Linked DNA regions of Drosophila melanogaster. Changing the gene in region 1 together with any one later gene gives a genetic interaction. Each region holds a gene or a part of one and is shown in the gene's direction. Other genes may lie near its edges.

The links. A genetic interaction does not mean that the proteins touch.
Region 2: of Moe (region 1) and Rok, changing one suppresses a phenotype caused by changing the other (phenotypic suppression), as found in Drosophila melanogaster (one study listed by BioGRID).

What each region holds. Positions count from the first base shown.
Region 1 is NC_004354.4:8,876,527-8,880,482, reverse strand, and holds the start of Moe (moesin), read left to right. Parts: upstream 1-1,757; 5' UTR 1,758-1,945; coding exon 1,946-2,014; intron 2,015-3,321; exon of another isoform or gene 3,322-3,427; coding exon of another isoform or gene 3,428-3,469; intron 3,470-3,730; coding exon 3,731-3,910; intron 3,911-3,956. UniProt on the Drosophila melanogaster protein: Involved in connections of major cytoskeletal structures to the plasma membrane. Together with wgn, involved in control of axon targeting of R8 and R2-R5 photoreceptors, independent of egr.
Region 2 is NC_004354.4:16,635,447-16,639,046, reverse strand, and holds the start of Rok (Rho kinase), read left to right. Parts: upstream 1-1,632; 5' UTR 1,633-2,619; intron 2,620-2,685; 5' UTR 2,686-2,763; coding exon 2,764-2,825; intron 2,826-3,379; exon of another isoform or gene 3,380-3,472; coding exon of another isoform or gene 3,473-3,507; intron 3,508-3,600. Other genes in the region: RpS19a (ribosomal protein S19a), read right to left, coding at 242-641, 744-814.

The sequences.
Region 1 (3,956 bases):
TATTAATTGCTGCTAATCAAGTGAAATGTGCGCAGAAACACACTGACTTTATTATAATATTTCTATTTCTTATATTTTGCAGATTGCAGCACAAAAACAATAAAGAGTTCAGACGATAATATCCTGGAAAGAAAACATTTCGTTTCGATAAGTACGACAAGACACGAAACAACAAAATGTCTCCAAAAGCGGTAAGTTAACCAATAACTATAAAATAATAAATAATTAGTACTGATTAGACAGTATTATAATAAGTTCGAAATATTCCATTATAATGGTAACCATATATCACTGGAATGAAACCACAAACGAATCTGATAAAACAAATGTTTTGCACTAGCGCCTAGTAAATTATTAAAGATTAGTTATATTAAATCACAACGAAAAGTTTGTCAGCTATCAGCTATCGGAAATTGTGTTCTTATCAAGAGAGCACTTCAGCTACAATTGTCGTCAATTGTGGAGTGTTGGGATCGCATCGCATCTTTTAATAGAACTTCTTCTGGGGGGGAATGGGGATGGCCAGGCGAAGACGTCATATTGGCCCAACTGTTGACGTTGGTAATTGTATTTGATTCTTGGACATTTGCCAAAAAAAATTTCATCATTTCATCAGATACGCAGACGGCGAAAAATTGGATTAGAAGACGACGTCATTGATATGAACACATGAGTAGATCATTATTTCATACCAAAGCATTTGCCAATTTCTTTTTGACATGTTGTGATTTCTTTTTTTTTTTTTTTGGCAACCGGAAAAGTTCTTATCTCACCCAGCGATGGTCTAATGACATTTTTGCCTCAACTTGATTGTTAATGAATGATGTATTTGTTATGAGTTCATCATGACAATCAAACACGTGATTTGAAGTGATTTTATAATACAATTTGGATGATTGAAAGGTGATTTTTGCACAAAGCTTTAAGAAGTCGTTTGCCTTTTAGGGAAATTTCTCTGTTCCAATGCAGTAGTCGATGCACATCGTGCTTGAATGGTTTCTCCATAACTTTCCCTTTTTCGCTATAGTTTTTCTCATCCATAACTAGATGTTTATTGGTCTGTTTGAATAGCTTGATATGTGAGTGCGGAGTGGGGAGGGGGGAGGGGTTTAATTGCTATTTGAGGCCCAAAAGCGGCATCAATAAAACAGAATTGACAGCCAACGCGTCGTATGATTGACGCTGATTTGTTTGCCTACCTTGGGGCTGCGTTTCTACGGCGCTCTCTCGTGCTCTTCGGCGCACAGCGCTGGCCAAATGACTAGTGTTCAAACTAAAAATTAGCTAACTATACAGCTAATTCAATCAATAATTCATTTAGAGAATTGGTTGTGTTTTGATTTATATATATATTTTTTAAATATATTTTACCATATTGCACTATTTACTTGACCCCCATTGCATTCACATACTTCTCTCGTTCTGGAAAACCCATTTGACCTCTATGGTCAGCAGTTCTTTTCTTTATGGTTGCGGCTGTCCACTTTTAGATGCATAATTAACATGCAATTTATATTAACTTGACAACGAATGACTGGGATAAAAATTTTCCCATTTTCTTGGGCAGAAATTAAGTTCATTTTGTGTTGTGTTGTGTGTTCCCTTAGCGTTTCTTTTGCGTTCTGCCGCCGCCGCCGCTTTCCCAGTGTTGTTTTTTGTTTTTCTTCTCTTCTAGCATTTATTTTCCTTTTGCCTTTTGCGCTTGTCTTCCCCATTTGGCGACTTAAAAACGTGCCGTGACTTTTCCATTTTCCTCAGTTGCCGCTGGACAACAGAATCGAATCGTCGCTTTTCCGCTTTTAACCATCGTGTCGCGTTGGTCGGTTGGTTTTCCCGCGTAGCTTGTGGCTGCTCAAGAATATATATATATTTCCCAGACGGAGATTTGCATTGAAAAGGCGTAATAATTCAAAAGCTACTGCGCAATCCGTTTTCGGTGCCCAAAATGGTCGTCGTCTCCGACAGCCGCGTCCGTTTGCCGCGTTACGGCGGAGTCAGCGTCAAACGGAAAACGGTACGGACCACACTGCTCACTATTTTCCACGTTTTTCCTGCTAAGCTGGAAAAGCGCATCCCCCTTTTCTTTTTTTTTTTTTTCATGTGCTGCACTTTTGTGGTTTCAAGTCAAAAACCATTTTTTTTTCTTTTTTAAAAACTGGTTATTATGCTCCAACTTCCGTTGCAAATAGCTGTTGTGTTTTTCATTCTCAGCGGCCAGGGGGAGAAAAAAACAAAGCAGAAACCACGGTGGTTGCATTAACCCAAAAACGTTAATTGGATTGAAATGAAAAACGTTTTCAATTTCCTAACATTGTGTCACGTTTGATTTGCATTCAGCAGCCGAAAGCGAAAACAAAACAATGAGCCCTCGGACTGAAAAGCAAAACCGAGCCAAACAAAATGATGAAGTTAAAAAATTTTAATTTGTTGGGTCTACCACACATTGTTTTTTCCCATGCCCAGAAAATGGTAACAAAAACCAGCGGATTTTCAAAGGGCCTTTAAAACTGAAATTGGTTCAATCAATCTTAACAGATAGGAAATAAAATAGTTTAAAAAAATTTGTAGCTGATTTAGGTATTTAGCAAAATTCCTTTGTATATTTCAATAAAGTAAAGGAATATTTTAAACGAATGGTTTTTAATGTAAGACTTACATTTGTTGGCCATGTTGTAAAAAGCGAACTGAATTGTTAGTTATATATACTCTATTGTCTGCGCTGCATATTAACCCCAATTTTGATCTACGATCGCATTTACTTTGATCCAAATGTGGCGATTGCGCAATGGTATGTAGTGTAGTTAGTACAGGTTGACATGTGCATGTGCTGTGTGTCCGACGTTGGGTGGCGATGTGGGTGGAATTTCCCTAGCTTTTCCGCCATTTCACATTGCAAGTTGGTCAAGTGGCACGCGCAGTGGGATAGATAGCGGCTGAGCTCTCTCTTTCTATCTCTCTCTTGTATAACCACCGATTACCACTCGCTGGCCATCCGGTCTATATTCCCATACACACACACACACACACACACGCACACCCCACACCCTGTGTTTTCCCCCCACTTATTTCCACTATCTAGAGCTGCCTGGTCATTTCCAGCTTGTTGCTATTGTCATGCCTGATTGATTTTTGCTTTGCTGTTTTCCAAGCGTGATTTTTCACTGCGGCCCGCTTTCATTTTCCCTCTTTCCATTTTGCCCTCCATTTTCCCCCATTTCCCCCCATTTTTTCAAGCATTTTTCACCCATTTGAAACGTGTGTGTGCGCGCGTTTAAGTCGAAAGCCCGACTTATGCAAGTCGTGGCAATCGAATCCAATCCTCCAAAGCGAAACGGGAGCTCTTGGCACGTGCCCTGCTCACATCCCGTTAATCCATCGACCCCTAAACAAATCGTGGGGGATTCTCCTCTGCACGCCACCTTCATCGATGGGTGTCAATTTTTTACTCTTTTTTTTTTCTATTTGGCTTGTGAGCATGCCCAGTTAGTTTGATCTAGTTAGCTTTTCATGTCATGGATGATGGCACTTTTAACTTAAGAAATGCAGCAAAAGAAACAAATAAGTTACATTTAATTAATAAAACATTCTGTTTGATTCATTCGTTTTTAGTTTGCCTTCTAAAGGCAATGCTTTGTTCTTTTATATATATATATATATATATATTTTTGCGTTATTTTAATCATTTAATACGATATTTTTTTAATATCACGACATCCCTTACTAATTTCAGCTAAATGTGCGCGTCACGACAATGGACGCGGAACTGGAGTTCGCCATTCAGTCGACGACGACGGGCAAGCAATTGTTTGACCAGGTGGTGAAGACGATCGGCCTGCGAGAGGTTTGGTTCTTTGGACTCCAGTACACCGACTCCAAGGGCGACTCCACATGGATCAAGCTGTACAAAAAGGTAGGCGACTATAAATTTCATACAAATAAAGTTTGAAGTTTATAGT
Region 2 (3,600 bases), 7.8 Mb from region 1:
TTACTAATATGAGCAGCATCCTGATAAATCTACCACTTTTTTACATTGCCAAGAGGAGCTATTCTATTCCCCTGTTTACAGACCGCATAAAAAATGTTTCTAGCATTCGAAGAACGCATGTTTCGTAGACTTTTACAAATTGTGGTTGGTTTTATTTTCTCATCTCTCTCGTGCAAACAAAAAGCGCTTACAATAGAAGTCTAAAAATGCGTTTTTTAGAATTCGAAGGGGCGCCGTGTGATTACTTGGAAATAACAATGGGCCCGGTCTGCTTGGCGGCATCGCGCTGCTTGAACACGATCTGGTTAGCAATACGGTCCAGATCACGCTGTCCAATGGAGCTCAGTTTGCGACCACCGTCCGGGTGCTTCTCGACCAAACGGGCGTGCTCCAAGGCCTGCAGAGCCTTGCGGGCAGCACCGTCGGCGGCGCGGCAGAAGTGCGAGGGGTGGACACCGTTGCGCTTGCGTCCGCCGTAGATCTTGGTGATCGAACCGACTCCAGCGGGACTGCGGTGGTACAGATGGCGCAGGATCGAGGCGCAACGCACATAGAACCAGTCGGGATCGTAGGGCGCCAGCTCCTTGAATTTGGCGGTCTTGACGATGTCCATCTGGTCGGGCACCTTCAACTTGCCAGTCCTATTTGGTTTTTTTCGTGTTTTTTTTTTTTTTTTTGGGGGGGGATAAACAAATGGATTGTGAGGTTATGTGGTGGAAATATACTTGATGTTCAGTACTCACTTCTTCAAGAAGACGGCGACCGCCTTGGTAACCGCGTGCTGGTCAATATCCTTCACTGTGACGCCTGGCATCTGCGGGCAGAACGGGAAAAACAAATGGGGAATCTATTACAATGCTGCCAAAAACACGTTGTCGCGATTTCCACGATTCTCTCACAGACACACTCTTTCTCTCTCTCTCTCTCCCTCGCACACACACATGCACGGGCACAACAAAAAATTGCCAGCCGAAGTTTTAACCCGAAAAAAGCTGTCCTTTCGTGTTTACGGCCGGCCCATTGTGTCATTTGCCACTTGGCGTGGGCTCTTTCATTGAATTTCACCCATTCAAAACATAAAAAAAAAGATAATTCACTTGAAAAGAATTCGTGCACAACCTTTCTCGTTAAAGTCAACCGGAAAAAAGAACAAGGCGCGTGAAGTTGGCTGCGGTTAATAGTGCTGGGCCTGCCACCAGCAATAGTATCGATTAATCGAATGCCGGCGCGGCGAACTATCGAAGATTCGGTTAATGATACTCTAACACGTATGTGTTCAATTTATAGTTATTTTTAAAAATATTTAAATTAATGAGCACACCAAGATTATATTATATATTACTTGGCATTTGAAGACCTTGTCTAAACATGCATTTTCGTATTAGTATATTTTCAATGTGGGCAAAGAATGCGTAGTACAATTCATATTTTGCTGTATCACTTTATTCATAAATAACTGCTTTTTATTTTGTTAGCAACCGATTTACATAACTATTCATGAAGCTAGTTTCTGAGTCTATCGAATAACAAGCGGCCCATCGATGACGCAGACAACCGATATTGCCGCAGCACCATCGCCATTTGGAGCGCCACCTGTTGGCCCTGGTATATTCTGGTATTTTCATCGGCGCCTAGTGACTTCGATACTTCAACTTCGATATGTAAACACAATTGCCATCTCTACCAGCACCGAGCCGAAATAAAATAAGTGCAACGCGCAGCGTCTAATTGAAACCAAATTGATCTATTTGGCCGCGGCCGAAACTGGACATTCGCAATTTGGGCGGTCAGCCGCCCCCGTCCCGTCCCGCCCCCCCGTGCGTTTCCCCCGCTGCCGACGGACAGTACGTCGGTGTGACGCACATCGGTGTGTGCGCGCGTGTGTGTGTGTCTGTGAAGCGCCTTGTTATTGTTGTTGTAGCGCTTGCTACGTTCGCCGTTCGCAGTGCACTGGTGTGCGTGCGCTCGTGTAAGTGTGTGTGCACAGAGGTATCGTTGGAATTAACAAAAAAATAGAAGAAGGAAAAAGCTACTTGATTGGGGCACACAAAAACCAACAACTCAAAAGGCCGAGAAACAAAAGCCCACCTTCAACACCACCAATCCGCCGCATTCGACACATTTTGGCCAGGTTTTTGGCCACAAGTGTTGACACAACTGTTGCATGCCAAGCGGACTGCGGACAATAATCCCCGTTCCCTTGTTTACCCAACAATCCATCGTGGTCAACGTGATCATCCTGGTCATTACGATCCCATTTGCACAGGAAGTAAACTAGATTGATAGCATTTTCCGGGAATCGATAGCACACCTGCCTGCCGTGTGGGAAACGCACCTGGGAACGCCCGGGTGCTCGGCTGCGTCCGCATGTGGCGTTGGCGGCACTCCACCAAAAGAAGCCAGCGCCAAGTGCCCAATCCCCATACCCATACCCATTCCCATTCCCATCCCCATCCGTATTCGATTGGCGTTCAGTGGCAGCAGTTAGCCAGAAATCCAACGAAACACTCGTGACCTCATCGCCAGCAAACAGCAAACAACTAGCGCTTGACGCGTGCCTCCTCTCCTCATTACTATTAGCATTCCCAGCATAGACAGACGTCCAACAACTCCTGGCAGGTAAATGTACAATATAAATATGTGTACCCCGAAGAGAACTCTGTTAAACCCTTGCTTCGCTTTCAGTTGCAGCACAGGAGCAGCAGTTGACCAACAGGAAGCAGCAGCTGGAGCAGCAGTATCAGCTTGTTATCTTGCATTTGCATGCCAGCTGGACGAGAAACTGTGACCAAGCAGCGCAGCATGGATGTGGAACGAAGGCGCCGGTGAGTGCACGAGATGGCGGCCCAAAAGCGACTGCTCCACTCAATTAATTGTCACCTGAATGGCAGCATCAGCAGCAGCAGCAGCAGCAATAGCAATAGTAGAAGTCGAAGTAGAAGTAGAAGTGGCAGTAGCCATCGCACAGATACGTGCGATTTGTACAGACAGATTTGTGATTTGTTCAACTGACCAAGCCAAGCAGGCAGCTAAGCAGCTAACCAGCTAACCACCTAACCAGCCAACTAGCCAGCTAGCACAATTCAGCGCAAGCCAAACGGGCCTGGCCAAAACAAATCAAAAAGTAATACACCGCTGGCAAACACCTTCCATATCTCATGTTCAAAGCGACAGCGCGGCAATCAAATTGACAAGCGAGTGAACAAAACGGGGGGCGACTTTATAATAAATTTGCCATTTTCGCATTAAAATTTGTAACCAAACCAAAAAGAAAAAAAACCAAAACGAAAACGAAAAGCGAACTAAAACGAACGCACAGTGGCTGATGCCGCCGTTTGTCAGTTGCAGGCGTCGCGTTGCATCGGCTGCATCGTTTGCATCGTTTTGGGCCAAAAAGGTAGAATAGATAGCCAGCACCACGCCGGTTTCTTCCATTGGACAGTAGACGGTATAGGGCATGGGGACATGGCTAATGCCCGCCGCCCTCCATTCGTGCGAGCCGGAACGGTACGTTGTTCTCATCTCCACGCTCCTAGCATTCAGCATTCAGCATCCAGCTCTCAGCTACCAGTTGTCGTCCTGGTTCGCTTGCATTCCAAA